Danio rerio: one gene and its partner. The main gene of each other region encodes a partner of the protein of the gene in region 2 in a complex. Links are inferred from orthologs where the notes say so. Each region holds a gene or a part of one and is shown on either strand. Other genes may lie near its edges. The genes, in order: nog1 and bmp7b.

Region 1 (16,546 bases), on a different chromosome or scaffold from region 2:
AATAGTGTATATTTTTATTGCGTGTCATACAAAGAGTAAATCAAAGAAAAACAATAAAAAATTTTAAAGACAATCGTTCATTTACCACAGATTAATGTGTGAAACAACATGCAAATGTGGTTGTTTACTTCTGAAAATAAAGATTTCAAAAGAATTCTCTTTTTTTTTCTTCTAGAACCTTTTTTATTTTCATGGAATGTAAATGTTCTGTTGATGTCAAAGATTCTTTGTGGATCTTCGTAAGCCAAACAAGGACCTTTATTAACCTTTTCTCTTCAAAGTCATTGGACAACATTGGTTTGTTCTTTAACCAACGGTGGGAAAATATTAAGGGGAATATATTTTTTTTGATTTCCCAGAGATGGGTTGTGGCTGGATGGGCATCCGCTGCATAAAAACTTGCTGGATAAGTTGGCGGTTCATTCCGCTGTGGCGCCCCCGGATTAATAAAGGGACTAAGCCGACAAGAAAATGAATGAATGAATATTTTCATTGAGTGCCATACAAAACTAAAGAAAATACAAAAGACACGTTATTTACCACAGATTAATTTGTGAATCAACAAGCAAATTCTAAAAGGATTCAAAGGAAAAAAATGACTTTTGCTGTTGTTGTCAACCTACCTTCAGTTTTGTGACAACTTAATCATTTTACAAATTTGAACATAAAACAAGTTAACTTGATCAATTTGTGTTGGGACAACATGAAGGACTTATGCAAAATGCAGCCTTTTTACAGTGTCAAATTAGTTCTTATAGAACCTTTTCCCACTTTTGTGGAATTTGATGGAATGTTCCATTGATGTCAAAAGGTTCATTGTAAATTTGTGATGCCAATAAAGAACCTTTACTTCCCTTCAAAGTCATTGAACAACAAAAAAACAACAGAAACTAATGTTGGGTTCTACAAAATCAATGTTGGGACAACATGAAGGAATTATGTTAACTTTTTTTTTTTTTTTATTTAAGTGATTGAACATAAAAAATGAAGTTGTCACAAACAAAACAAGAATTATGGTTTCAAGCTTATTTTAAATAAGTAGTTTGAACAAGAAGCAATCGAAATTTTTGTGTATATTATCATTGAGTGCCATGCAAAGGATTTAATCAAAGTAAAGATTGCAGTAATTTAAAAAGACAATCTTTCATTTACCACAAATTAATCTGTAAATCATTGGCAAATGTGGTCGTTTACTTCAGAAAATAATGATTTTTGCACACTCAAAAAAATGACTTGCTTTTTGTTCAAACTACTTTGTTTAACTGAGTTGAACCAACACTTCTCATGTTTTTAACACAATTGTTTTATGTTCAATTTACCTACATTTGTAAAAATGATTACGTTAGCTTAATCACTACTTTGTGTTGGGACAACAAAGGATTTATGTGAAACGCAGCATTTTTTACAGTGTGTTAGTTCTTTTTAAACCTTTTTTCGACATATTAGATCTGTGAATCAACATGCAAATGTGGTTGTTTACTTCTGAAAATAAAGATTCTAACAATATATATACACATTAGTTCTTTTAAAACCTTTTTTCGTTTTTATGGAATGGAAAAGCTCCATTGATGTCAAAGATTCTTTGTGGACCTTTATTAACCTCTTTAAATGCATTAAACAACAGTGGTTTGATCTGAAGCCAATCAGGAAAATAAATGTTTTCAATGAGTCCCATACAAAGTGTTAAAACAAAGTCAAAACTATAGAAGATATAGAAGACATGCAGGTCATTTAGCAGAGATTAATCTGTGAATCAACATGCAAATGTGTCCCTTTCTCTGAAAATAAAGATTCTGAAATGATTCTTTCTTGTACACTCAAAAAAAAAAGACTTTTGCTGTTCAAACTTCTTACTTTAAATGAGTTGAAACAACACAATTATACATTTTTGGAACAGCTTAATCATTTTATGCTCAATCCACTGAAATCTGTAAAAATAATAATAATAAGTTAACTTGTTCACTGTGTTGAACAACATAAAGGATTTCTGTTGAATGCAGACTTTTTAACAGTGATCTCACATTAGTTCTTAGAACCTTTTTTTCCACAGACTAGGTCTGTGAATCAATTACTTTTGTTGCTTGTTCAAACTACTTAAAAATAGTTAAAAACAACACAATTCTTAATTTTTTTGCGACAATTTAATTGTTTTATGTTCAAATTTGTGAAAACAAGTATGCTAATCAATTTGTGTTAGGACAACATAAAAGGATTTATGCGGAACGCAGACCTTTTTTTTTGTTTTACTGTGTAGTGCTGTCACATTAGTTCTTTGAGAACCTTTTTCCATTTTTGTGGAATGGAAATGTTCCATTGATGTCAAAGATTCTTTGTGGACCTTTAATAACCTTTCCTTTTTAAAGTCATTAAACAACAGTGGTTTGTTCAGAAGCCAATCAGGAAAAAAAAAAATCAATAAGTCAAAAACAAAGTGTTAAATCGAAGTCAAAACTCAAGAAGACATAAAAGATATGCAGGTCATTTACCACAGCTTGATCAGTAAATCAACATGCAAATGTGTCCCTTTATTTCTGAAAATAAAAATTTTGAAACTATTTTTTTTTTTGTACAATCAAATAAAGGACTTTTGCTGTTCAAACCACTGACATTAAATGAGTTGAAACACAATTATACATTTTTGTAACAGCTTAATTGCTTTATGCTCAATCCACTGAAATCTGTAAAAAAAACAAAAATAAAAAAAAACATTAAGTGAACTTAATAACTTGGTGTTGGGACAACATGAAGGATTTCTGTTGAAGGCAGGCTTTTTAACAGTGATCTCACATTAGTTCTTAGAACCCTTTTTCCACAGATTGGTCTGTGAATAAACGACTTTTGTTGCTTGTTAAAACTTTGCATGTTGATTTACAGATCAATCTGTGGTAAATGACCTGCATGTCTTTTATGTCTTCTTGAGTTTTGATTTCGATTTAACACTTTGTTTGGGTCTTGTTGATTTTTTTTTTTCCTGATTGGCTTCTGAACAAACCACTGTTGTTTAATGACTTTAAAAAGGAAAGGTTATTAAAGGTCCACTAAGAATCTTTGACATCAATGGAACATTTGCATTCCACAAAAAAGGAAAAGGGTTCCCACTGAACTAATGTGACAGCACTACACTGTCATTTTACTGAGCATTTTTTGTTAAAACTAGTCAATTTCAATGAGCATTTTATGCTCAATCCACTGAAATCTGTAAAAAATAAAAATAAAATAAAAACATTAAGTGAACTTAATAACTTGGTGTTGGGACATCATGAAGGATTTCTGTTAAATGCAGGCTTTTTAACAGTGATCTCACATTAGTTCTTAGAACCCTTTTTCCACAGATTGGTCTGTGAATAAACGACTTTGGTTTCTTGTTCAAACTAGTTACTTTAAACTTGTTGAACGACGACTCTTGTGACAATTTCATTGTTTAATGTTCGAATTTGTGAAAACAAGTAGGCTTATCAATTTGTGCTGGTTTTTTTTACAGTGTAGTGCTGTCACATTAGTTCTTCGAGAACCTTTTTCACCCTCTTTGTGGAATGGAAATGTTCCATTGATGTCAATGGTTCTTTATGGACCCTCCGATGCCAATAAAGACGCTTTCTTTCAGTCTGCAATCACCAATACCCTTTGGCCGGGACACATCCATTTAAACGAAGCCCTGTGTGATTAGTTTGCCCAAGCGGCCGTAACAGCGTCCTAATCAGTGCAGTGTTTGGATAAAGCGCTCTTCTGCAGGGGTAAACAGAGCTGTATTTGATGCTCTTTATGAGGGCTGTTTGGCAGGGTTTATTCCTCTGTTAGACTGGCTCCATGCTCTCGGAGGGAGGCCGGCCCTCCTGCGGGGCTGCAAATGGGCGGGTGGCAGTGCAAAGAGATGCTCTCCAGCTGCTGCCTGGGCTTTATCTGCCTATAGGACGTTACAGTAGACGTTAACAGGTCCTCAATGACCATCATCATGCATCTCCACCCCACAATAAAAAAGCTGGTGATAAAGAGCTATTTTCACCGCTTATCAGATAAGCGGCGGTTTTTACAGACTGCAAACTAACGCGCTCATTAGCGTGACCCGTCAGCTCTGTTAACACCCGTGATGATGATGTGAGAAAGTTTTGCCCCATGTTATGTGTGTTTGTCCAGCGTGCCGTAACCTTTAACCCAGATAGCGCCTCCAGAAATGGTTTAACGAGATGAAACGAGCAAATTAACACATGCAGGTTCTCCGGCCGATGAATGTCACGAATTGTTTGAATTAATTGATGCGTAAAATGTGGCTAATCTGCTTTTGGAGAGGCCGTCTGCTGAAACGCACAACGCATAATCTCCGCTAACACGTCGTAATAACTTTCATTAAGGAGTCATTAGGATTTATCAAACAATGCTAGCTGGCTGATCAGGAGTTTGAATGAATATATACACTACAAAAAAAGAGAAATAAGATTAAAGAGTGTGTTTTACAAGAAAACCCTTTCAAAAAATGCTTGTTGTTTCACTGATTGTGAAATCTACTAGCAACTGTTTGCACTTAAATATTTGAAGAGGATTTTTTAAAAATAAATACACGCATTAAATACAACATTTTTTCCAGCAACTGCATTTTATTGAACTTTTAATTATTAGAATGTGCTAATTAAAACAACATTTATTCACAATGTACAAAATAAAGTCGCTTCCATTTTAAATAATCAGAATAAATATTGCTTTAATTAATGCAAAAATAAAATCTAATCATTTAAACTAGTGAATAGTAACAGTTTTTAATCGAACAATGCTTGGTGACTGATCAGATGTTTGAATCACAATGTACACTAGAAAGAAAAAGTGATTCAGAGAAAACAAAACCAAAGGTTGTGTTTGACAAGAAAACCCTCTTCAATACAATTGTATGTTTATGTAATTGTCATTTCATCGTAACTGGTTGTGAAACTTACTAACAATTGTTTTCAATCCATTTTTTTCTTCTTACAATATTTATTTTAAAATAACACATGAATAAACGCATGCATTAAATACAAAACTTTTCCCTCAAGTGCTCTTTATTTAACTATTATGATCAGAATGCATTAATTTAAACAATATTTATTTTGATTGTGATAAATAAAATCTATTTACAATGCTTGGTGACTGATCAGATGTTTGAATGACATTATACACTAGACATCAGAGTTTCAAAATGAAAGAGTGTGTTTTACAAGAAAACCCTACATGTGTGTGTGTGTGTATATATATGTATATATATATATATATATATATATATATATATATATATATATATATATATATATATATATATATATACACACACACACACATACACACACACACACACACACACACACACACACACACACACACACACACACACACACACACACACACACACACACACACAGAGAGAGATACATAGCGAAAAATTGTGTGTTAAATGAATTGCCATTTCATTGTAACTGATTTTGAAATATACTAGCAATTGTTTGCACTCTTGTTTTTTCTTCTTAAAATATTTATTTTAAATAACAAATATATAAAATACAACATTGTTTTCCATCAATTGCATTTCGTTGAACTATTAATATCAGAATCAGTTCCGTATTAGTCAGAAACAATATTCATTTATTCATTTTCCTTTGGCTTAGTCCCTGATTTTTCAGGGGTCAACACAGCGGAATGAACCACCAACTTATCAAGAATACGTTTTACACATGTATGTCCTTCCAGCTGCAACCGAGTACTGGGAAACACCCATACACACTCATTCACACACATACACTACACACAATTTAGTTCATCAATTCACCTATAGCGCATGTGTTTGGACTGAGGGGGAAACCAAAGCACCCGGAGGAAGCCAACGGCAACACGGGGAGAACATGCAAACTCCACACAGAAATGCCAACTGAGCCAGCCGGGATTTGAACCAGTGATCTTCTTGCTGTGAGGCAACATAGCTAACCACTGAGCCACCGTGTTGCCTACATTCAATTATCAGAATATTGTTTTAATTAACACGTTCTAAAAATAAAATAAAGTGAAATAGTTAATAGCAAAAATAAAAAACAATATTCATTCTGATTACTCTGAACAGGGCCCTATCAGCAGGTCAGTTGCTGGAGGTCCCCAGATCCAGGTATAAACAATGGGGCGATCGTTCTTTTGCAGTGGCAGGTCAAAAACTGTGTCACTGTTTAAGGTTAAACTTAAAAGCTATTTATTTAGACTTCCTTTTGATATTCGTTAGTACAAAATGCTGTTTTATTGTTTTATTGACACATTATTCTGCATGTAATAAATACTGTATATCTATTACATTAGAATAATTAGATTAAATATTGTTTTAATGCATTCTAAAACTTAAATAAAATCATTTCAAATAGCTAATAGCAAGACAACAATATCTATTCTGATTATTCTGAATTTAATACATATATTGCATTTGGAATAACCAGAATAAATATTGTTTTAATTAATGAAATCCAAAAAGATATAATAATTTGAAATGGTTAATTGTAAAAAAAAAAAAAAAAAAAAAACGATTTATTCAGATTATTCTGAATTCAATACATGCTATATATTTATTACATTCAGAATAATCAGAATAAATTGTTTTAATTAATGTGTTCTAAAAATAAAAGAAAATCATTTGAAATAGTTAGTAATAGTTCAATTAACTGCGATTATTATTTCAAATTATTTGATTTTATTTTTTAAAAACATTAAAACATTACATAATAGCATTATTATCTTATTAAAATATTTTATTTTATTATTATTTCTAATTATTTGATTTTATTTTTTAACATTATTACATTACATAATATCATTATTATCCTATTAAAATATTTTATTTAATTATTATTTCAAATTATTTCATTAAATTTTTTAAATACATTATTACATTAAATAATTACATTATTATCTTATTAAAATATTTTATTTTATTATTATTTTAAATTATTTCATTTTATTTTTTATACATTATTACATTACATTATTACATTACTATCTTATTTAAGTATTTTATTTTATTTCATTTATTTTTTAAATACACTATTACATATTGTCTTATTAAAATATTTTATTTAATTATTTTTTCAAATTATTTCATTAAATTTTTTAAATACATTATTACATTAAATAATTACATTATTATTTTATTAAAATATTTTATTTTATTATTATTTTAAATTATTTCGTTTTATTTTTTATACATTATTACATTACATTATTACATTATTATCTTATTAAAATATTTTATTTTATTATTATTTCATTTATTTTTTAAATACATTATTACATTACATAATTATTATCTTATTAAAATATTTTATTTTATTTCAAGTAAATGCATCAATGTTAACCAGTATATATAAGAGATAAGACAACTGCAATAAGACAATTGCATAAAAAGTATTGTGGTCGGACTGATTATAAAATCCATTAATTTTATTAGTACTATAACATGCAAAAAATACGCTTACATTAACCAAACTGAATCTATCTTCAATTCACACACATAAACCTCACATTTAGGCCTAAATATAGTTTGATTACTGTGATCTGCATTATTATGTGATGTAATAAAAAGGCTCCACACGGGCCACTGTGAGCATCAGCATTGGTTGCCTTGGTTACGGGGGCCCTTAAGCCAGGTGAGAGCATGTCATGGTAAATTAGGAGACCCTCTTTGAAGTTTCTTTCATGAGAAGAAACAAAGGCAGAGGAAACAAAAAAAGCTCAAACCATTCGTTGTGTTTGATATTTTATTATCTGAATATAAAGAATAAATAACAGTTCATCTTAATTTACAGGATAAATCGTCTCCGGCCGTCACAGCATGTGAGACTTTAAAAAAAAATTAAAAATCCACAATAAATTTTGAGGTCGTCGAATCTGTGTGGGAAAAAAAACCTTATAGACATCTCAGACAGCTCCATTCTCTGCAATATAAATACAACCCAATATTTTCCACAATTACAGTAGACTCTGGATATTACTACACATAATACTGGCTAGATCATTACATGATGGCACGACATATACAGACAATACATTCCTACACATGATAGTGCATACACAAACGAAAGGGAACACTTGCATGACAGATATTAATATAAAACACAACGCTGAGTCATCAGTTATCAAATCTGAATGTGTGAGCTATTGATCTGCACAGCATTGTGTTTAGATGAACATTGCCTTATTATTTACTCTCCCTCATGTGGTCTTATGTTGAACACCAAAAGAAGATATTTTGAAGAATGCTGCTGGCACTTCGATAAAAAAAAAATAGTATGGAAGTCAATAGGAGCCGATCACCAGCATTCTTCGAATTATCTTCTTTTGGGTTTAACAGATAAAACTCCAACGGGTTTTTAGCAAGTAAACAATGACAGAATTTAAATATGTCTGAAAATAATGTTTAAATGATCTAAAATTAATATAAAGTGTTTCCAAAACACAAAATAAAAGCTTTTCTTAACAAATCCAGAGATTTGTATAAATAATGTTCTCTTTTTTTATAAAGTTCTTCCAGAAATGTGAATTTTAAATATGAGATATATTTTGTACAGTCGTGTCTCCATAATTTAAGTCCAGCAACATGCATTAATGTGCTTCACATCAGAGTCCAGAACCATATCAGGAGCTCTATTATGGGTTTTCTGAATGAGCGGCCAGTTCACCCATTTACTTCCATTGTAAAAAATAAATACTATGGAAGTGAATGGGTGCCAGCTATCAACATTTCTCAAATTATCTTCTTTTGTGCTCAACAGAAGAAACTCAAACCTGTTTAAAACAACAAAATTAAAATCTTTAATCTCTTTAAATGACTTAAAGTTAATATAAAGTGTTTCCAAAACACAAAATAAAAGTGTTCATAACTTAAATCCAGAGATTTGTTTTATAAAAGATGTTCATGTCTGAATTCTCTTCTTTAGAAAGTTCTTCCAGCAATGTGGATTTTACAAATATGAGATACATTTTGTACAGTCATGTCTCCATAATTTAAGTCCAGCGATATGCATTAATACGCTTCACATCAGAGTCCAGAAACGCATCAGGAGTTCAATATTATAATGTTTTTTATTTCTGCTGGTCAGTTCGCGCATGAGCATTTGCACTCTGTGATGATGGGATACTGCACCGGTATCCACGCGCACTTGAGTGCGCCTCTCCTCGCCACGCATCTCCAGCGCAGCAGCGTGATGTGTGTTGATTTGGCCGGTTTGCACACCATGCCCTCCGGCACCGAGCATGAGCGCTTGGTGTAGCAGCTCCCCGCGCGCACGAACCGCGGCCAAAAGCGCGAGCCCAGGTCATTCCAGGCGTACAGCACCGGGCAGAACGAGTAGGACCACAGCCACATCTGCAGCCGCCGCTTCAGCTTCTTGCTGGCTTTGCGCTTTTTGCCCCACGGCGCGTCAAAGTCCAGGTTCTTGATGTCTTTGGGCATCATCCCGGCGAGGTTCAGCTGGAGCTCCTGCTCGTCCAGGTCCTCGTTCCCCGCGTAGCGGTCCTGAGGAGGACCGACCGACAGAAAGCGGCTGTCAAAGTCCCCGAGCGCGCTCCTCAGCTCGGTCTCGTTTAGATCCTTCTCCCGCGGATCGTAGAGCGGGTCCGGGTCCTCCTTCAGCTCCAGCAGGGGTAAAGTGTCACTCGGGATGGGTCTGAGCAGGTAATAGTGCTGGCACTGTGCGAAGGAGAGCAGCAGCAAGTACGCGGACAGCAAACACCGCGGGAAATCCATCCTTTTGAAATCTTCATCCAAAAGCGAGATCGGAGATTAAACGCGGGATTTATCCGTGCGTAATTCCGTGCATATCTGATGTCGAGGTGTGGTAAATGCGTGGGAATCGTGAGAAAGCATCACGATTGAAGGAGCCCCGCGTCTGAGTGTTTTTTGGGAATGCCTGACTCTCACGCGCGCGCCTCTGATTTATACACGCGCGCCCCTGTGATGCAATACACTTCTCTCGCTTTTTCTTTTTTCTCAATGTGAGTTTGTTTGCAGGAGATTCCCCGACACTTCCTTTCAGACTCAGATGAGCAGGAGGAGGAGGCGTGGCTGCAGGCGCTCGGCGTTTGACGCCCCCTGTCGGACAGTTTTCTAACTGATGTCCAGAGGCGATGTTTTTTTGTGGTGTCTTTAAATTTTCACAACTTAAATCCAGAGATGTGTGTTTAATAAAAGTTTATGAAAAAAAGTGTCAGAAATCACTTTTTTATTAAAATCTTGAGAAATGTGAGTTTAAAAAAAAAATTGACACCAACTTTAGGTTTGTATAGCACCTTCCCAAATAGGGTTACATTACCCAATGCACTGGGTTAAATCATTTATCCCAATGCATTGGGTCATTTTGATTAAATGTTATTTTCTCCATTCTGGGATTACTATTACTATTCCTACTATGAATTCCTAATTATGGCATTAAATAAATGAATGTCTCCGCTGGGTCCTAAAGGTTAGAATCCGGGAGCGCAGAGATGAACACGGGAGGTGGAGAAAGGGATTTAGTATTGATCGGCTTTAAAGCTCTCAGTATCAATAATTAAAAACACGACATGGAGAGGTCATTTAATAAAAGATATAACAATATCATTGTATTAAAGCCTTAATAAACTTTAGAAAGCAAAAACAACATTATAAATGCATATTATTACAGCTGTTCTGTGTCAGTCAAATCAGTTGACTGTTGAAACCCAAAACTGTAACCCAACTGGTTGAGTTGTTATATAAATAACCTAATAAAGGTTAAAAATAACCCAACAAAGCACCAACCAATTTGTTTAACTCAACAATTGGGTTAAACAAATAACTCAAGGTTTTTTAGAGTGTACAGTCATGTCTCCGTAAGTCCAGTGATATGCATTAATAAGCAATGGGTGCCAATGGGAGTCAATGGGTGCCAGCTACATTGTAAAAGACGCAGGGTTTATGCTGGAAACACATTTTTGGGTTAATTGTGCAGGGTCAAAACTGCTAAGTTGTCTCGGGTATAGGGCTGTGCAATTAATCGGAAAACCGATTTCGATTTAAATTTTGGCTTCTAACAATTATGAAAAACCATTAATCGGTATAAGCGATTATTGCATCATATACTGGCCCCTTCTGTTGCTCTTAAAAGCGCAAAAGACCGCATGATTCTGAGTGTGTGTGCGGCACACACACACAGTCAGAAGCATGTGGTTAGCATTCCGTCTTATTCGCACACTGAGCTGTGCCGAGCGCACACACCTTAAGTCATCTTAATGTGAGCGTTTAATGGTCAAATAGGTGTCAAAACGTGGAGTTTAGTAATTATTCATATTAACCCTCATTTGAGTAATAAACAAAGAGTTGAAAATCAAAAGACACGTGAAAGAGAAACCATTAAAGTGACCGTGCGCAATATCCCTGATGCCACCTGTTTTTATGATTATTAATCAAACAAAAGGAGAAGCTAAACTGTTTGGCTTAAAAGTGTTTTTCTTACAGTGAAGATGCTTAAAGCTCAGTTTATTTCATATTTTTATACTATTGTATTTATTTCGCATTCCTTTGCAGGGTGGAAAAGAAATATATATATAAATATATATATATAGTTGCAGATGCAGACAATCAAAAAATATATAAGGGGGCTAATATTATTGACCTTAAAATGGGTTTCAAAATATTTAAACCTGCTTTTATTCTAGCCAAAATAAAACAAATAAGCCTTTCTCCAGAAGAAAAAAAATATTAAAGGAAATACTGTTAAAATTAAAAAAAAAAAAAAATCTCAGGAGCGTTAATATTTTGACTTAAAAATAATAATCGTTTTGAATAATCGTGATTACAATTATGACCAAAATTATCGTGATTATGATTTTTCCCAAAATCGAGCAGCCCTACTCGGGTACTGGTTGCCCAAGCTTAGTCAACCCAACTGAAAGGACAGTAAAGGCTTCTCTCACCTTTGAACATCTGGGTTTGGTTATTTTGACCCAACTTCTTTATTAATTGTTCATTTTTCTATCTGGATTCATCACAATTTCAGATGGAGCTTGCGGCAAGCATTACAAGGTAAATAAAATGACATATACAGTGGTCTCTCACTATAAGGTTCACCTTTTGGGCCACACAGTTTAGCAGATTTTATTTACTGCAGTTTGACTTGGTTTTGTTTTTTGTTTTGCTTTGTTTTTTACAGTGCATTGAGTTCTGCGTCCTGATTGGCTGTAGACCACTGTCAATCAATCTATTCCATGTCTCCTAATCAGTACACAATGCATTCAGCTTGCTAAATTAACATAAATCTTTATTCGCTAGCAATGTAACTTTCAACAAGGATGCAAAAAGGGTTGTAACGCCCCATTCACATGGGGCGTCAGCGTCAACGCTTCCTATTCACATTGAATGGGTGATGTCAGGTGTTGCCGAACTGCATTGTGGATCCGTCGGCACCGCTTCAGAGACGTTGCTCGCTGCAGAAGTTGGGACTAGCTTAACTTATCAAGCGCCGATGGAAGTGTCAACCAATCAGATCGCTGTATGCAAATACACCAGCTAGACAGTGGCCTATTGCTGACTGAATTTCATTGGCTGACGCTGTTATGACGATCGCTTCAGCCCCAACTTCAGACACACCTTCAGTCAAGCGTTGACGCTGAAGCCCCATGTAAATGGTGCGTATCTGTCCTCAGCAAGACCATTGTAAAGGAGACTATCGTTATTTGCATTTTCCAAACCGTCACAACGTTTTCTGGTATAGGGGTGTGTTAATATGTTCTACAATGCTGCACTGAACTCAACAACAAGTTCAATGTATCCAGTTTAATTTGCAACCGTGTTTCCTTCAATCAATCTGTCCATCATTCCTCCCATCCTCATGATATGAGTTCAGACATCTGAACATCTCTGAATAAACCCAGTATACAGTAGATGAGCCCACATTATCTCTGTCTGCTTGGCACTTGGAGAAGCACAAACACACAAGTGTGCTGCTGAGGCTGTGGGGAATAAAGCCATAAAACACTCCGTCTAGAGTCATCCAAAATGAACATCTCCCACCAAGCCGGCGCGGCGGAATGCAGCTCGAGACTGACAAACACAGAGGAGCTGCATGGAAGAAGTGAGCTGTGCATAAAGCAGACGCGCAGAGAAATACATCTCTGTTTCTGTGTGAATGAGCTAATTCACACTTCTGCTGGAGAGACGGAGAGAGCGAGAGAGAGACACAGAGAGAGAGAGAGAGAGAGAGAGCTGAATCAGACAGCAGAAGCAGACACTATTGTCAGCACTCACAAAACACTGAACACACCTGTGCACTGCACCCTGCTTCATTAGAAAACACTTAATAATAACTATTCAGACTCACAAGACCTGTAATTAATTTATTACAATCAACAACTCAATCAATAATTCATAACAATAATAAAAATGAACAATTAATCCATCCGTCTATCCATCCATCTGTCTGTCCACCTATATCCATCCTTCTGTCTATCGATATTTCTATCCGTCTGTTCATTTATCCATCCATCCATTCATTCATCCATCCATGCAACTGTCTGTCAATCCAGCTATCCTTCTGTCTATTGATATCCAACCGTCCTTCTGTCCATCTATATATTTCCATGGGTCTGTTCATCCATCTATCCATCTATCTGTCTGTCTGTCTGTCTGTCTGTCTGTCCGTCCGTCCGTCCGTCCGTCCGTCCGTCCGTCCGTCCGTCCGTCCGTCCGTCCGTCCGTCTGTCTGTCAATCCTGCTAACTATCTGTTTGTCCATTCATCCTTCTCTTCATCTTTTCTATTTATCCATCCATCCATCTAGCTGGTTTATCCATCCATCAATAAATTCAACTGTCTGCCCATCCATCCATCCATCCATCCATCCATCCATCTATATACATCCAGTCGTCTGTCAATCTATATATCCATCCCATGTATCTTTTCAATCCATCCATCCATCCATCCATCATCAATATTAATTTATCCATATTTTCTATCTATCCATCCATCTCCTTCCATCTATCCATAATTTCTATCAATCCATCCATATTTTCTATTCATTCATCCTTCCATCTGTTCATCTATTTATCCATCCATCCATTTCTCTATATATCTATCTAAGCCATCAATCCATATATCCATATTTCTATTTATCTATCTATATTCCAACTTTCCATTTTTCCATCCATCCATCTATCTATCTGTTTATTTATCTATCCATCCATCTGTCCATCTAAATATCCATCCATCCATCCATCCATCCATCCATCAATCCATATTTTCTATCCATCCATTTATCCATCAATCCACCTTTCTATCCATCTGTTCATCTATTTATCATCCATCCATTTCTCTATATGTCAACCTTTTCAAGCCATCAATCAATCCATCCATATTTCTATTTATCGATCGATATTCCAACTTTCCATTTTTCCATCCATCCATCTATCCATCCATTCGTTTATATACCTATTAATCCATCTGTCCATCTATATATCCATCCATACATCTTTCCTACTCCATCCATCCATCCATCTTTCTATCCGTCTGTTACTCTATTTATCCATCCATCCATCCATTTCTCTATCTATCATCTATCCATCTTTTCGAGCCATAAATCCATCCATTCATATTTCTATTTATCTATCTATATTTCATCCATCCATCCATCCATCTATCCAATTATCTATCCATCAGGTCAAAATATACATCCATCTGGTCAATCCATCCATTCATCTATCCAGTATATCTATCTATCCATCCATCAATTTGTATGATCTATCCATCCATCTGTCTGGTCTATCCATCCATCCCTCCATTCCACACAGGACTCACTCACCTGCTCGAAAAACCCAAAAAGAGTTTGTGGAGTGTGGAAAGATCAGCATTTGTCTTTGGTTAACCTCACTGTCTGTCACATAAACTGACTTGATTCTCTCCAGGAGTTTAATCACAGTCAAAATACATAAATGCTGATGCATCCACCCGTCATATTCAGAGATATCGGAGTGTTTTCATTTCAACTCCTGCTAATGCTTTTGTCATCCACTGCTGCTCTCGGCTCATGGTGGGTTTTGTCATGTCATGAAACACACCAGAACCCTTCAGTTACAGAAACTTTATACACAGCTACTAGAACACACACACACACACACACACACACACACACACACACACACACACACACACACACACACACACACACACACACACACACACACACACACACACACACACACACACACACACTTATAGAGAACAAAAGGAGGAAAGAAATCTTCAGAAAATCTTACACAATGGAATTAAACACTGAATGCATCTAAAACACACACAATTAGAGCATAGAGTGTAAGAATAACAGTTTCAAATGAAGAAAACTACAAAAGTTAAAGTTAAAACTAATATAAATAATTATAATAAAGTTTGTGTGGGCCAAAATTCTAATTTAAATAAATAAATCATATTAATATTTAGAAAAAAAAAAAACTTCTAGCAATCCTATAGAACTACAATTTTTGTTACATAACCGTAATAATAACTGTAAATTGACTTTCCCAGAATTCCCTGCATGGCACATCACTTTTTATGCACTTGGTTGACATTAATATGGATCTTTTTAGTTGTTTTCCCATCAGTTATGTACATTAGAGATTTATGTTACATCTAATGTTGATAAACAATGTTTATTTCATGACTTTAATTTTATGCATGTTACCATACTGGTGTTTAGTAGCTGTGTGAATGACACTGAGCACCTTCTATATGCTGATACTCTTTTCTGCTTGTGGGAAAAGTTGATTGTGATGAGCATTGGCTCATTTGGTAACTTCATCACCACCTTCTTCATGTGGGTGTGCTAACGTGTCTAACTGTGAAACAAAAGATGTGTAAATGTTGATCATTCAAAATACAGACATATTACCTCTATAAATTAATAAAATACGGTAATTTACCGTAAAAATGAAAAATTACTTTTAAGGTTTGTTCTGTGTTTTTAACGGTAAAGTACTGGCAACCACAGCTGCCATTTTTTACCATAAATTTTACGGAATTATTTTTTACAGTATATATATATATATATATATATATATATATATATATATATATATATATATATATATATATATATATATATATATATATATATATATATAATACATTTCTAGAAGACTGATCTTGTGTAAAAAATAAAAATAAAAAACAATTTCCACCAATGCCGTCGAATAATTGTTTAAAATAAACAAAAAAATCATATTCTATAGAATAAACTTTTTTCACTGATGAAATTAAAGAAAGCAAAAACAGCTTTTAAAATATGTATCTCTTTGTATTAATAACATTTGAATGGCCTCAGATTCCCAAATAAATATTAAAATGTTTAGTTAAAGTAGGAACTGCTTTTCCATAGTATAAATCCAATTTGAATCGCCAAACAATGCTGAACAACATGTATTTTATCAATTATATTTCAATATTTAAGAAAATACCAATCCCAGCAATTCTAAAAAAATGACACTTGTAAATATAACAAACACACTTTACATTACACTTATGAAACTTACACTAATACAGTAACAAA
Region 2 (16,053 bases):
AGATGGTGCTCTATGCTAATTTTTAACAGCAGATGGCACTCTTGGCTAGTTTTTAACAGCAGATGGATCTCTAGGCTAGTTTTTGATATCAGATTGTGCTCTAAGCTAGTTTTTAACAGTAGATTACGCTCTAGACTAGTTTTTAACAGCAGATAATGCTCTAGACTAGTTTTTAACACGAGATGGAGCTCTAGGCTAGTTTTTAACATCAGATGGTGCTCTAGAATTGTTTTTAACAGCAAATGGTGCTCTAGGCTAGTTTTTAACAGCAAATGATGCTCTAGACTAGTTTTTAACAGCAGATAATGCTCTAGGCTAGTTTTTAACAGCAGATGACGCTCTAGGCTAGTTATTAACAGCAAATGATGCTCTAGACTAGTTTTTAACAGCAGATGACGCTCTAGACTAGTTTTTAACAGCAGATGATGCTCTAGACTAGTTTTTAACAGCAGATGACGCTCTAGGCTAGTTATTAACAGCAAATGATGCTCTAGACTAGTTTTCAACAGCAGATTACGCTCTAGACTAGTTTTTAACAGCAGATGATGCTCTAGACTAGTTTTTAACAGCAGATGATGCTCTAGACTAGTTTTTAACAGCAGATGATGCTCTAGACTAGTTTTTTTAACAGCAGATGATGCTCTAGACTAGTTTTTAACAGCAGATGATGCTCTAGGCTAGTTTTTAACAGCAGATGATGCTCTAGACTAGTTTTTTTAACAGCAGATGGAGCTTTAGGCTAGTTTTTAGGAATAGATGGTGCTCTAGACTAGTTTTAATAGAAGATGATGCTCTAGGCTAGCGATTAACAACAGATAGATGGTGGGCTAGGCTAGGCTTTAAAAGCAGATGGTGCTCTTTAGGTTAGTTTTTAACTCTACACTCAAATCTTCAAGAATAAGAGTCTAGGTCATTTGTTCAAATGTACTGTACCTCAGCTTTTATGCCGTGGGATTAATGTAAACACTGCTCACTATGAACACTCTTGTAATTCTGTCACCCCAAATTTAAAATGTACACTTGGAAATTATAGAAAATATAATTAATAGTTTGTCAAGATAAGTTCAGGTTTAAAAAAAGAAATGTAAAAATGTAATAAAAGCATACAATGCCTAAACATTTGCATAACTTCATAAATGGTTATTTTAGGTTCAGGTGGTACGAGACAGAGTATGGCAGATAGTTCAGAGTCAGAATTGAATCAACAGAAAAATCGCAATGCATTCTGAAAATCAAACTCATATTATCTCAATGCATCGATTTATTGCCCCAGCCCTAATCCTAATTCACCCCAAATAGTATTGTCTTAATCATGTTAATGGCAGAATATTGTTATCCATGTAAACATGCTGTGTAAAAACTTCAAAAGTGAATCAGAGGTAATATAAAGCCTTCTGTTATAGCGAGGGTCTCTGAGTCCCGTCCAGCTGTTCAGAGCCAGTGTTTATGTGTGTGATCCAGCAGAAGAGACAGATCTGCTACAGGTGGCAGGACTGAGGGTGTGTAAACAGAAAGGAGGCTCTGCTGTCTCTGCTCGTGCTCTTGAGGTAATGCAGCCTAATGGAGCTACACACACTCATAAAACGGCTTGAGCCATAAACACACAGAGAGATAAAGAGGAATGTGGAGTGAGATGGAGAAGGACCAGAGCTAACAGAAGAAAACTGCTGGGGGATTAAAAGTTTTACAGATTATGAAGAAGATTTCTATTCTCTCTGTGTGAAGTATTTTCTAAGTGTAAAGCAGTTAATTTTCTCTTCTCAAAATGTATGTAGTGTTTGCAGCAAACATGCCAGCCTGTGTTAAAAATACAGTGATATGTCTGTGTAAGATGAGAGTGCCTGCACAGAAGCAACACTAGGAGAAGGCTGAGTGACTGATTGTGTAGAATAACTGAATATGTAAAGCACTGATTATATATGTTAAATACTTCTATGAAGCTATATGTGTCAGAAGTTAGAATGAGTAACATATTATCAAGTTATTATGCTTTCATGACAATGTATGTAAACACTTAGTTCCTTTGCATAAGTTGCATCTATACTTTGCTGACATAGACCTGTAACATCTCTGTTGACATGAGGTAGTGGGCTGAGAGCCAAGAATAGCAGGACCCCTTAGACTAAAAACCTATTCAAAAATGGTCAAGAGTTAAAAAGAGACTTAGGGGTGTGTCAAATAATCCTGTATAAAAATTGTAACAAACACAGATACTTCAGAAGGTGCAGGAGAGACTTCAGAAGGTGTCCAGGAGAGACTTCAGAATGGTCTGGGGTCTGCTCTGCTCTTTCTCGGCTTTATTATGGAGAATAAAGTCTATTTTCTGATATTCAAAACCTCCGGTCTGATAATTTGTAATTAATGAGAAGTCAATATTTACCACAATTACAATGGCTTTTGGGATGAAAAAATCTTCTCTCCGTTAAACAGAAATTGTGGGGAAAAATAAATGAGGGGGCTAATAATTCTGACTTCAACTGTATATGTTTTTGCAAGTGTCTTGTAGAAAATATTAATTTAAAAGAGAAATCTGTGAGAGATGTACTCAATTATACTGAGCAGCAGTAAAAAAATAACAAATATACAGTAGTGGACAGAGTTCTGAAAAAATCATACTTAAGTAAAAGTACCATTACTTGCTTAAGTAGAGTAAAAGTATCTGTTGTAAATATTACTCAAACTATCAGTAAAAAGAAGACTTTTCAAAAGTACTCAAGAGTAGTGAGTATTACCCTGTGAAAAGCTGATGCATTTACATGTAATTTGTGGATGTGTGTAAACGTAACATTCTGTAGTGCATTTAGTAGCAGGCAGACAACGTCATATGATGCTAATATTAGGTTAGATTTAGAGTGTGATGTCAGGTGACCAAAATTCAATATCTAGCCAGTGTCTAATGACAACATTATTTTGATTGATTAATTTTGATTTGATTGATATTTGGTTGATTTTAGGTAGTGGTGCAAAGTGACCCAACATCTTAAACCAACGTCATATTGACATCAAATACTGACATTTATTAATCAGGTATGGCCACCAAAATCCAACGTCTGATAGACATCATCATGGCCGGATTAACGTAAGGGATAGGTGGGAAGAAGGGCCCATGGAAGAAGGGGGCCCTTGATTGGCTGAAGAATTAATTTGCGATATGACGCGGGAAATGACTCATCCATTATGCTTTTTCTCGTCAATAATGGGAAGTATTCCTTTCGGTTTGCTGCTTTACAGGAAAAACTACTCTACAGTAATTTGAGCATTTGTTATTGTCATTTTACACCACTGCAAATATGTAAAAGAATAGGTAAATAACATTAACAAAATCTAATATTGGTAATAGACGGTTATCATACCTGCCATCCAAGGTCTCGAAAACTGACATACAGCTCATGTTTCTTACAGGCCTGCTTCTGGTCAGCACTGCTGTTTTCTGAAAACAAATAGAGATACAGAATTTAAGAAACCTCAATAGAAATGGTCATCGCTGGAGATGAAGTGCAAACCTGCAGAAGAGTAAACTATTTGCCAATATAGTCAGTCTCCAAACAAATATATACACAGTGCTCAGCTATAAATAAGTGTACCCCATTTTGAAAATGAATATTCGTATCTGGCAGCGCAGTAGGTAGTGCTGTCGCCTCACAGTATGAAGGTCACTGGTTCGAGCTTCGGTTGGGTCAGTTGGCATTTCTGTGTGGAGTTTGCATGTTCTTCCTGCGTTCGTGTGGGTTTTCCCCACAGTCCAAAGACATCCGGTACAGGTGAATTAGGTAGGCTAAATTGGCTGTAGTGTATGAGTGTGAATGAGTGTGTATGGATGTTTCCCAGAGATGGGTTGCAGCTGGAAGGGCATCTGCTGCGTAAAACATTTGCTGGATAAGTTGGCGGTTCATTCCGCTGTGGCGATCCCAGATTAATAAATGGACTAAGCCGAAAAGAAAAGGAATGAATGAATGAATATATATTTGTATCCATTGCTCAGTGAACAGAGGCAATGTATTTTGGTGCATTTAAACAAACAGATGTATTAAACAGATATATTCAGTAAATTAATATTTTGGTCACCAAACATATTTAGAAACTGAAAGATAATACAATTAAAATCAAGGAAAGTATTGCAAAAATAAATAACACAATTTCAACTACTTATTTATTTATTTATTTGTTTATTTTTTGCTTCTCTTGATTTTTCCTTTTTTAAAAATTTGTATTTAATATTTATTTATAACATAAATTTGGGTGTACTAGTTTTTGGACCGTTATCATTAGTTATTTTTGTTAAAAAAGCTCCAGATTTGGCTTCAGAACTGACTAATCTCAAATCTAATGTCAAATAATATTGTAAAGCTTCCTGTAAAAATATGAATTTAAAAGACAGATATGTGAGGGGTGTACTATGTACGTATGCTGAGCACTGTTTATATTTAAAATAAAAACACAAGTTCGGTCTCACTTTATTTTGATGGTCTGTTTGTTGAATTTAGGTTACAGTGCATCTACATTCCAATTAATTCTCATTCGATTTGAAGTAGACTGTTGGGGTTAGGGTTAGTGTAAGTTGACATGAACTTGCAAAGTTTCTTATAGTCAGTTAAATGTCAGTTTAGGAGGAGTATCAACAGATATTAAGCAGACAGTCTGCTAATACTCAAATGGACCATCAAAATAAAGTGTTACCACAAGTTCTACACTAGAACTTTGCCAAAATAAAAGTTTAGTAGATGTATGCATTTAAAATAAATGGTTGATCTCCTGTGGAGCTACATATTATTGATTCATCTGTCCCACACGGGTGCAAATTAATCAATAAAATTCTATTAATCTTTATTTTTATCATGTAGATTGTGCCAAAGCTTAACACTGATAATGAAAAGGGCATAAAAAGCCTTACAATAGCTCAGATTGTAGCAGAAGAGTAATAGAATGGCCAGACTGGTTTGAGCAGATAGAAAGGCAACAGTAACTCAGATGACCACTCGTTATAACAGAGGTATGCAGAAGAGCATCTTTGAACACACAACATGTCAAACCTTGTAGCGGATGGGCTACAGCAGCAGAAAAAACATGAAACATGAAAGTATGAATCCATCCTGTCTTGTATCAATGGTTCAAGCTAGTGGTGGTCGTGGTGGTGGTGTAATGGGGGGGGGGTATTTTCTTGGCACACTTTGGGCCCATTAGTACCAATTGAGAATCTTGTCAACACCGCAGCCTACCTGAGTATTGTTGCTCACCACGTCCATCTCTTTATGACCACAGTGTACCCATCTTCTGATGGCTACTTCCAGCAGGAAAACCTGCCATAAGCTTGAGTCATCTCAGACTGGTTTCTTAAACATGTCAATGAGTTCACTGTACTCAAATGGCCTCCACAGTCACAAGATCTCAATCCAATAGAGCACCTTTGGGATGCGGTGAGACATGACATGGATGTGCAGCTGACAAATCTGCAGCAACTGCGTGATGCTATCATATCAATATGGACCAAAATCCATATTTTCCAGTATCTTGTTGAATCTATGCCACGAAGGATTAAGGCAGTTCTGAGGGCAAAAGAGGGTCCAACCCAATACTAGTAAGGTGTACCTAATAAAGTGGCCGGTGAGTGTATACCTTACTTATAATGTGTGAAAAAGTGCTAAAGCCAACACTAAACTGTGAGGAAGACTGAGAAATATGAGGACTAGGTCACCGAAGTTGTCCAGATTCCTTGAAACCCTCATATACCTATGCAGTACACTGACCCAAATTCATTTAATAGCCATTTAACACTGTAATGTTATTACTGTGCAAAATGACCTGCAGAGAATTACACACTAATAGGAACCACATGAACAGACACAGAAACGCACACATTTTATCTCCAGTTCTCTTTTGCCTTTAAGGAACAGTTCAGCTTGAAATTGAATTAAATTGTTTTCATTTAAGGGCATGTTGAGGCAAACCTGCAAAGCAATTTTTTCTTTAAAGTCCCTGTAAAATCAATCATTATTTTAGATGTTAGTATCAATATGTTAGTCTTGAAATAAAGCTTGAGAGCTCCAAAACAAAAACAAAATTCAAATTTAAAGGACAGCATTCAAATCCTGCAGTTTCTCCCTTCCTCCAGAGTGGCGCCCCCATAAAATATTCTTAGGCCACACCAAATCTTGGGGTGGCACACAAAAAAAAAAAAACTAATGAATTCAGTTTAATGTTATATGTTTGTTTCTGGTATATGAAATAATGTGGTTTTAATTAATTTAATTAATTACTCAAATATTGTAATTTATTCAACAACAGGAATCAGTCCAAGGCACTCGAAAAAAATTTGGAAAATTTAAAAAGCCTTTATTCGCATGGCTAAATCTTTAAAAACCTAAGCGTTTAGGCAAGGATCTGGCTCTATTAGGGTAACAGTCATCGTCTGCGTCTAAAGCAGGGGTTACCAACCCCTACTCCTGGAGAGCTACCTTCCAGCAGATTTAAATTGCAACCCTAATCAAACACACCTGTCTGTAATTATCAAGTGCGCTTTAGGGCCTAATTAAATAGCTCAGGTGTGTTTGATCAGGGTTGGAGCTGAATTCTACAGCAAGGTAGCTCTCCAGGAACAGGGTTGGTGACCACTGGTCTAGAGTCTCTCTTGAGTACTACGGTCACATGACTCATTTAAATATCTCAATAACACTCAAATAATTTAACAAACAAAGTCAACTATCATCATTAATTTGGCATAGATAGAGGGTGACATATAACCATACACAGACATTTACTTGCATATATGAGAAAAAAATATATATAGAACTAATAAACAATGATGTACAGAAAAAGCTAATCTGCACTGATTGGTCCGATGACCCAGTCTGTTGGGGTTGGTCGACTGCGTTCAGTGGAGACAGAGAGAAATGCCCACTACAGCTTATAAACAATTTTGAAGTAGTCAGAGTGCAGAGTGTATGTGTGAGTCAAATGCAGGAGTACATTAAAGCAATGCTGTTAAACACCAACATATTACTCTACTCTTTACCCAGACACACATTCAGAATTAAACCACACAGTGGCAAAAGCTGAACTATTTTAAAAATTGACTGCTGTACGTGTGTAGGAACAGCTGATAGTGGCCCAAGCCACGAGAAAAGAAAAAGCTTACGAACGCATTTATATCCAAAAAATAACGAACGGTAAATTAAAGAAATTTGTAAAAAAAATAAAATAACGACCATTAAATTACAGAAATTTGCCATAAAATGACAAATGTTAAATTACAGAAATTTGCTATAAAATAATGAGTGCTAAATTACATAAATTTAATGTAAAATAACGACCATTAACTTACAGAAATTTGCCAAAAAATAACGAACGTTAAATTACAGAAATTTGCCAAAAAATAATTAACGGTAAATTACAGAAATTTGTAAAAAAAAAAAAATAACGACCATTAAATTACAGAAATTTGCCATAAAATGACAAATGTTAAATTACAGAAATTTGCTATAAAATATTGAGTGGTAAATTACATAAATTTAATGTAAAATAACGACCATTAACTTACAGAAATTTGCCAAAAAATAATGAACGTTAAATTACAGAAATTTGCCAAAAAATAATTAACGGTAAATTACAGAAATTTGTCAAGAAATAACGACCGTTAAATAACAGAAATTTGTTGTAAAATAACGAACGTTAAATTACAGAAATTTGCTATAAAATAACGAACGTTAAATTACAGAATTTTGCCATAAAAAATGAATGTTAAATTACAGAAATTGCCCATAAATTAACGAACGTTAAATTACAGAAATTTGCTATAAAATAACAAATGTATAAATTTTAGTCATTAACTGTAAAATAACAACCGTTAAATTACAGTAATTTACCATAAAATAACGAACGTTAAATTACAGAAATTTGCTAAAAAATAACGACCATTAAATTACAGAAATTTACCATAAAATAACGAACATTAAATTACAGAAATTTGCCAAAAAATTACGACAGTTAAATTACAGTAATTTACCATAAAATAACGAACGTTAAATTACAGAAATTAGCCATAAAATAACGAATGTTAAATGACAGAAATTTGCCAAAAAATAACGACCATTAAATTACAGACATTTACCATAAAATAACGAACATTAAATTACAGAAATTTGCCAAAAAATTACGAACATTAATTTACAGAAATTTACCATAAAATAAAAAATGTTAAATTAAAGAAATTGCCATTGAATAACGGTTGTTAAATTACAGAAATTTACCATAAAAACCAACATTAAATTACAGAAATTTACCATAAAATAACAAACATTAAATTACAGAAATTTTCCAAAAACTAACGAACGTAAAATTGCAGAAATTTCTTTAAATGTAAACTTCTGGTAAATTTCTGTAATTTAACATCTGTTATTTTATGGTTATAGTATTATATGGTATTTAATGTTTGTAATTTACCGGTTATTATTTTACATTACAAATGTAAAATTACGAATTATTTGTACAGTGTATATACTTGTTTTGAAACAGTATTTTTTTTTAAGTAAGAGCATTAAAAATAGTATACAGTGTGTATAAAAATATATTGTGAATTTGCAGTACACTACAAGTTTGCATAATAACTAGTGTCATACTTCAGTACACTTCTTTTCCTTTAGCATATATTATAAATAATGGTTTTTCCATATATATTTTTTTATTTTCGGGGTGGCACAGAACTATACTAAGTGCCTTTCTCTCAGTTTGGTCTTACTATATGTCTTTCTTCACCTGCCTCCTTCAATACACGTCAGCCACACACACCTGCAATATTGGCTACACGCAGCGCCTCCTGGCCCTTGGCGGTTTTGGAGCGGTTGGGATTGCGCTGCTTGTTTCCGCCCTGAGCGGAGCGGATGCTGCGGATGTGGACCTCCGTGGCTTTGAAGAAGGCCACCATGAAGGGCTGTTTGCTCTGAGGGCCACTGCGCCCCACCAGTCCCGCCACCCAGGGGTTCACACTCTGACCTGCAGGGGGAGACAGAGAGAGATTTCACAGTTCATCATTTCACAACAATCATTTATGATGCTGAGATAATAGAGGAGAGAAATACATCTTGAGATTGTTAGTGGAAATGTTGACAGGTACAAATCCATGAGGGAAAGTACTACTGTAAAGTTATACAAGATCTTTTTCATCTGGATAATGGGTGACAAACATTTTTAGTGTGAGTTTGAATCGGATATTACTGTGGGTGAGCAATTTCTGCAGCAGAATATATTGACTTCTATCATGAATTTGTAATTGCAACTTTACATCAAATAATTTTTGTTAAAGGGGAACTATTATACTTCTTTTTACAAGATCTTAAATCTCTGATGTCCCTAGAGTGCGTATGTGAAATTTTAGCTCGAAACATCCCACAACTAATGTTTTACAACTCTTTTTCAGACCATGTGTGCCATTTTTGTGATTGTCACTTTAAATTAAAAAAGGGATTATGCTCTTTTTAAAAGAGGGAAGAACATATCCACGAAAGTAAAATAAAAAGTAAAATAAATAGAAAGTAAAGAGGCCAAATGGAGGAGGATCATTCTTAATCCTTGTGCTGCAGATGCTCTGTTTAACTGTTTCTCGCTAGTGAAGCGTTAAGTTTTTCCACTTACAAAGTACATCATGTAAATAGTAAATGCGACCTTACAGCTATGTAACTGACTCTTAAAGGGAATGGGAGTTGAGACTTTGATTGGTTTAATGTACGTTATGCTCAAAACACATATAACTCAATAAAATAATAAGCAGAATTGTATTTTTCTGTCCTTAAAGTAGCAAAAGTAGATTTGGACACACTCCTAATGTTTTTGCACCATGCGATTTATGCTGTGCTTACACTAGACGGGAAACATGCAGATAAATTGCGCTATTCACACGTCAAATCCGCTTCATTCGCACATCAAATCCGCTGCATTCGCACGTCAAATCCACTTTATTTGCACTTCAAATTCGCACTTCAAATCCGATTCACTCGTGCGTCAAATTCACTGAGCAATAAACGCAGATTCGCGTCATGGGCAGGGATTCTTTCAGCTCAGTGACTGTAGCTTTCTTGTTAAATGCCTAACATGGATTTTATTGAAAGAACAGCTGTGTTTATGCGCTTTATGAAGGCTGAAAAACATTCATTCATTCACTTATTTTCTTGTCAGCTTAGTCCCTTTATTAATCCGGGGCCGCCACAGCGGAATGAACCGCCAACTTATCCAGCAAAGTTTTTACGCAGCAGATGCCCTTCCAGCCGCAACCCATCTCTGGGAAACATCCACACACACATTCACACACACACACACTAATACACTATCGACAATTTAGCCTACCCAATTCACCTGTACCGCATGTCTTTGGACTGTGGGGGAAACCAGAGCACCCGGAGGAAACCCACGCGAAGGCAGGGAGAACATACAAACTCCACACAGAAACGCCAACTGAGCCGAGGTTCGAACCAGCGACCCAGTGACTTTCTTGCTGTGAGGCGAACATAAAAACTTGCTAGATAAGTTGGCGGTTCATTCCAGTGTGGCGACCCTGGATTAATAAAGGGACTAAGTTGACAAGAAAATGAATTAATTATTATTATTAATGATCTTTCAAATGCAAGACTTCTTGAAGGAAATGAATGCAGCATGCAGAGTTTTGAACACTGGAGAGTCTCTGTTAAAAGTAGTGAGCATTTAGAATTGTGTTTCTAGAGTTTTGACAATTGATATCAGGTTTCTGAAATTTGTGGCAAAACAATAAAAAAAAAAACTGTAAATGAACACAACTTTGTAAGAGCATGTGTGTGTGTGTGTTCTCCAAGAATATGCAACTTCTCATGTTTATTTTGTGTAATCTCTCCCACTCTCAAAAGAGCTTTTAGTTCCCTGTTTACTCAGAAAATTCCAGCACTTACATCTGTTTCTGTGCCATTCTGGACTCCTTTTACCTACACACCGGCTTTAATGTGTGTGTGTGTATGTGTGTATGTGTGTGTGTGTGTGTGTGTGTGTGTGTATGTGTGTGTGTGTGTGTGTGTATGTGTGTGTGTGTGTGTGTGTGTTTCTTAAAAAGAGGCAGGAATGCTCTTTCTGTCTCCGCGCCGAGGTAAAGCTGGGTTGCCGGTTGCCTACAGCGGCAGGGCAGGCGTCCCGCTAGCATGTCTCGACAGGCTCGCTGATCTACGCGAGCCCCATAATACACTGCACCTGTTTTCATGCTAACACTTAAAACCTGTAACATCCTGTACACACACACACACACACACCTTCTTACTCACAGAGCTACGCTACAAAACGCACTCCCACTGCGGCTGGAATGAAGTATGAGAGTGAGAAAACACTGGAGCTTCAGCTCTGTATCACTTTGAACTTCTTCAGACTAAGCTCTGATCTCAGACTAAACTCCAGCGTTTTCTGTGCAGCTCCAGACTAAATCAAGACACTGCAGGTGGATAGAGGGAAAACATCACTAGATTTCAATGTACATGTGCAGTTGACTGATTACATATAGAATTTATTTTTGTAGTATGTTTTCTTAAATGTTAAGTTTATTATGCAAATGAGCCACTGCTTTATTAAATACCAGCTAATTTGCATACAATTGAAGTCAGAACTATTAGGCCCCCTGAATTATTAGCCTCCCTGTTTATTTTTTTCCAGAATTTCTGTTTAATAGAGAGAAGATTTCTTCATCACATTTCTAAACATAATAACATCATAATGACAGTAAATAATATTTGACTACATATTTTTCAAGAGACTTTTATACAGCTTAAAGTGACTTTTAAAGGTTTCAACTAGGTTAATTAGATTAATTAGGCAGGTTAGGGTAATTAGGCAAGTTATTGTATAATGATGGTTTGTTCAGTAAACTATCGAAAAAAAATGCTTAAAGGGGCTAGTAATATTCACTTTAAAAATGGTTCATAAAAAATTTAAAACTGCTTTTATTCTAGCCAAAATAAAACAAATAAGAATTCTCTAGAAGAAAAAATATTATCAGACACACTGTGAAAAGGGCGACGCAGTGACGCAGTAGGTAGTGCTGTCGCCTCACAGCAAGAAGGTCACTGGGTCGCTGGTTCGAGCCTCGGCTCAGTTGGCGTTTCTGTGTGGAGTTTGCATGATCTCCCTGCGTTCGCATGGGTTTCTTCCGGGTGCTCCGGTTTCTCCCACAAGTCCAAAGATATGCGGTACAGGTGAAATGGGTAAACTAAATTGTCAGTAGTATATGAGTGTGTGTGTAAATGTGTGTGTGGATGTTTCCCAGAGATGGGTTGTGGCTGGAAGGGCATCCGCTGTGTAAAAACTTGCTGGATAAGTTGGCGGTTCATTCCGGTGTGGCGACCCCGGATTAATAAAGGGACTAAGCCGACATGAAAATGAATGAATGAAACACTGTGAAAACATAATTTAGGAAACATTTAAAAAAGAAAAATCAAAGGGGGGCTAAAAATTCTGATTTCAACTGTATATATTTATAAATATAATTTTAGATGGGTAATAATTAATTGTTTTCAAAAATAGTAAAAAAAAATATAACGGCTTTTATTCCAGACGAATTAAAAGAAATAAGTCTTTTCCCAGAGGGGAAAAAACTATTTATAGAGTATCATTTATACTGTATAACAAAATGCATAATTTTCTTGTCGATTAGACATCATTGGGGGAATAGAAATTTGACAGGAGGGCTAATTATTGTAACTTACTGTATATGCCTGGTTCGGCTCAGCTGCCAAAACCGACTTCCGTAGACTACAGCGAATAGTCCGGACGGCTAAACGAATCACTGGCACTACCTACACTTCAAGAACTGTACTCCTTCAGAGTGAGTAAAAGGGCTCACAAAATCACTCTGGACACCTCGCACCCAGCACACTTCCTGTTCGAACCTTTACCTTCTGGTCGGAGGCACCTTATAACCTGTATATTTATCCATACAAATCCGTACATACAAGTCAACACTCAGATTTCTTGACAAACTGCATCTCTGTTTAATGATTATCGTCTTTTTTATTTATGTATTTTTTTTTTTCATATTTATTTTGTGTTGTCACTTGTCACTTTATGTACACTAGAAGCTTCTGTAGCCAAAACAAATTCCTTGTGTGTGTGAAGCACACTTGGCAATAAAACTGATTCTGATTTTGATGTGGATGTATGGGGAATAACTAATTTTGAGAAAACCACCTTTAAAAAATATGTATTGCAGTTTTAATCAACACAAAACAAAGGTTATGAAGCACTTAAAGGTTATATCTAAAAACGTAAATGCTTAACATTAAACTGAAAAGCACATTATGAAAGTACAAAAGCCCACTAAAGTGCACTGAACCACTTTGATGACGGACTTCAGCTAAGGCACTTTAAAATGACCAAAGCTACATTTACAAATCACATGACATTTTTGATGCACCTGCTGGAATCTATACACTTTTTTGCAGTAAATGTGTTTTCATTGTAATTTTTTTCTAAATTTACACACATCCTGGCATTCCCGGTCAGCATTTTTATGCAAAATTCCAAAATGTGCATGAAAATATGTGTGTGGAAGCATAGCGTGCTCTCTGCGTGCTCTCTGAATGGCAAATTTGTGAATGCATTGCTCATTTTGCTCACCGTCCAGACTGTCCAGAGCCAGCTGCAGGCCCAGGTTACGGCCCGGGTTCAGCACCCAGTGGTTACTGGTGACTGTGATGTCAAAAACCAGCCAGCCCTCTTCTGCTGCCCAGATCACCCGCGAGTCCAGCAGGAACAAATCTGAATCCCTGATCGACAGACAGAGAGCGAGATGATGATGAAGAAAAGACCAGCGTAACACATCAAACATATCACACAAATCAAGTCATTACAGCATGAAGGAAAGATAGAGATAACCTGTCAAATGACTTTTTGTGCATATTTTACATTCTATGATATTTTATATGAAAAATAAAGAGATAGTTCACCCAAAAATGAAAATTTACTCACTTTTTAGGCCCAATCCCAATTCTACCCCTTAGTAGAGGTCTGCCACTGGACCCGACCAGATTTCTGCGACGTGGGAATAAATTTCCGAATAAAGCGGGGGAGCGGTCGGTAACGGGTTTAATGTGGGACGGGAGTGGGCCGTCTAGCAATATTGCTCCCTACTCCCGAGCGAGCGAGCGAGCGAGCACTTATGTATGTGTCCAAATGAAACAGCGCAATGCTGTGTTTAGCTTGTTTGTTGCTGTGTGTGTGTGTGTGTGTGTGTGTGTGTGTGTGTGTGTGTGTGTGTGTGTGAGTGTGTGCACACGCGCGCAAATGAGAGAGAGAGCTTTGTCTTTGTGTGTGTGTGCTTGGTGCTTGTGTGTGTGTGCTTGGTACTTGTGTGTGTGTGTTTGTTTATACAGACAGCTTGTTATAAGCTGTATAGCTGGGTGGTTTTCAGTTTTGTTCTCCCCCCGCTCCTTAGCGGGATCGGGCGCAGCAGGTAGAAAATGGGGCGGGTCGGGCAGCAGGGCAACAAATGCTGAATATAAGTGGGAGTGGTCGGGTTCGGGCTAAAACCTGGCAGGAGCGGGATTAAAAATTTAGTCCCGTGCAGATCTCTACCCCTTAGCCCTTCCCCTTACCCCTACCCCTCAATTTGCGCGTTCAAACCATAGACTGTAAAATATATGGACGTAGTATCCGTGACGTCACCCATAGGTTTCTAAAGAGCGCAAAAGAAGCCACAAGTAGGCGTGGCCAACCGTCGCCATTTTGTTCGCGCGTCATCACACCGACGGCGGGATACCAAACATGGGCAAAGAGGCGGAGAGTGAGCGGAGCTACAGACGCATGCTGCATTTAGCTTGGACCTGGTTCAGACACCTGGTTTACTTTGGGAGAACGCTTAATACTTTATCACTTGTGACTCGTTTGTATTCTGACCACTTGTGCTTGGTTGTATACTTTATCAATAAAGTGTTTAGTCTTTTATAAACACTGCTGTAATACATTGAGCCACTAAACATTGTTCTTATGATGTTTTTCAACAGGAGGAAAACACGAATTACTTCCAAACACTTCAGATATAGTCTGTGTTTGTTAATGTAAGACTATTGATGAAATCCAGCATAACATTGTATGACAACGCTTCAGATGACTGTTCTACAGCCTACAGCTAATCAGTCTGACAGATTCTGGAGTGCATTACAGCTCTAAATATAAATATAAACGATAAATGATCTTAAATAAAACAAATACATGTATAGAGATGGTATATAAGTATATAACTTTACTCACATGGGAAACGGAGGCCACGTGAACAGTTTGTGAGCACAATTAAGTGCACTCAGCATGCCATTCCATCAAATAAATGTAGGAAACAAGTCCAAAAGGCAGTTGACTGTGTAAAGCCACATAAAACAACAAAGAAATACGATAAATATGCTGAGTTCAGTGGCTAATCTGCAGGATTCAGCTGAGGTGACGTGACGGCGACCAACGAGACCTAGCTGTCACTCAAGTGACCACGCCCTTAATTATGCAAACTTAATATAACTTAATATAAAGGAAACGGATGAGTTATAAAAAAATTCACCCCCTCACAGTTGTCATGAAGGGTAATATTAGCTGTATTAACCAAAATCTTTTTTTGTACCAGGCTGTAAACACCTTTTTTTCTGCTGTAAAGTTGGCCATTCTAACAGTGGGCTCAATTGAAATTTGCTCTGTTTTGGAGCCAGGAGCGGACAAGACTAGCGGAATTTCGGATGAATTGCAGTTTTAGTTACTTCCGTATTGGCTTCCTGAGAGAGAGCGGGAGGTTGCCGCTTGGTTCAAACTAAGGGGTAGAGGTATCCCTATTCTCTTTAGCTTTAAGGCGTAGGGCTAAGGGGAAGGGGTGAATACCCCTTCGAATGAAGATTAATCAGGACCTCACTCGAAACCAAGGGGTAAGAAAATATTCCAGGATACACCTGCCACAACAGCAGTATTGCTGAACCCGGAAGTAAGGTGATCCACAAATGAGTATTTTTTTCTCAGTATTGTGAATTTTTATGACAAACAAGCACATGTTTTATTATATTCATAATCGCGTTCATGTTTTAC

The links.
Region 1: the proteins of bmp7b (region 2) and nog1 are in contact, whole or in part, in a crystal structure (PDB 1M4U), measured with the Homo sapiens proteins. The link is inferred for Danio rerio from reciprocal best matches to the Homo sapiens genes BMP7 and NOG. Residues at the interface, in NP_001710.1 of Homo sapiens: Phe365, Pro366, Leu367, Asn368, Ser369, Asn375, Ile378, Val379; in NP_005441.1 of Homo sapiens: His29, Tyr30, Leu31, His32, Ile33, Arg34, Pro35, Ala36.

What each region holds. Positions count from the first base shown.
Region 1 is NC_133178.1:7,844,880-7,861,425, forward strand, and holds nog1 (noggin-1 precursor), read right to left. Parts: upstream 9,884-16,546; 5' UTR 9,743-9,883; coding exon 9,092-9,742; 3' UTR 7,741-9,091; downstream 1-7,740. UniProt on the Homo sapiens protein: Inhibitor of bone morphogenetic proteins (BMP) signaling which is required for growth and patterning of the neural tube and somite. Essential for cartilage morphogenesis and joint formation.
Region 2 is NC_133198.1:6,474,357-6,490,409, forward strand, and holds part of bmp7b (bone morphogenetic protein 7b precursor), read right to left. Parts: intron 13,761-16,053; coding exon 13,612-13,760; intron 8,986-13,611; coding exon 8,782-8,985; intron 8,000-8,781; exon of another isoform or gene 7,922-7,999; intron 3,431-7,921; coding exon 3,354-3,430; intron 1-3,353. UniProt on the Homo sapiens protein: Growth factor of the TGF-beta superfamily that plays important role in various biological processes, including embryogenesis, hematopoiesis, neurogenesis and skeletal morphogenesis.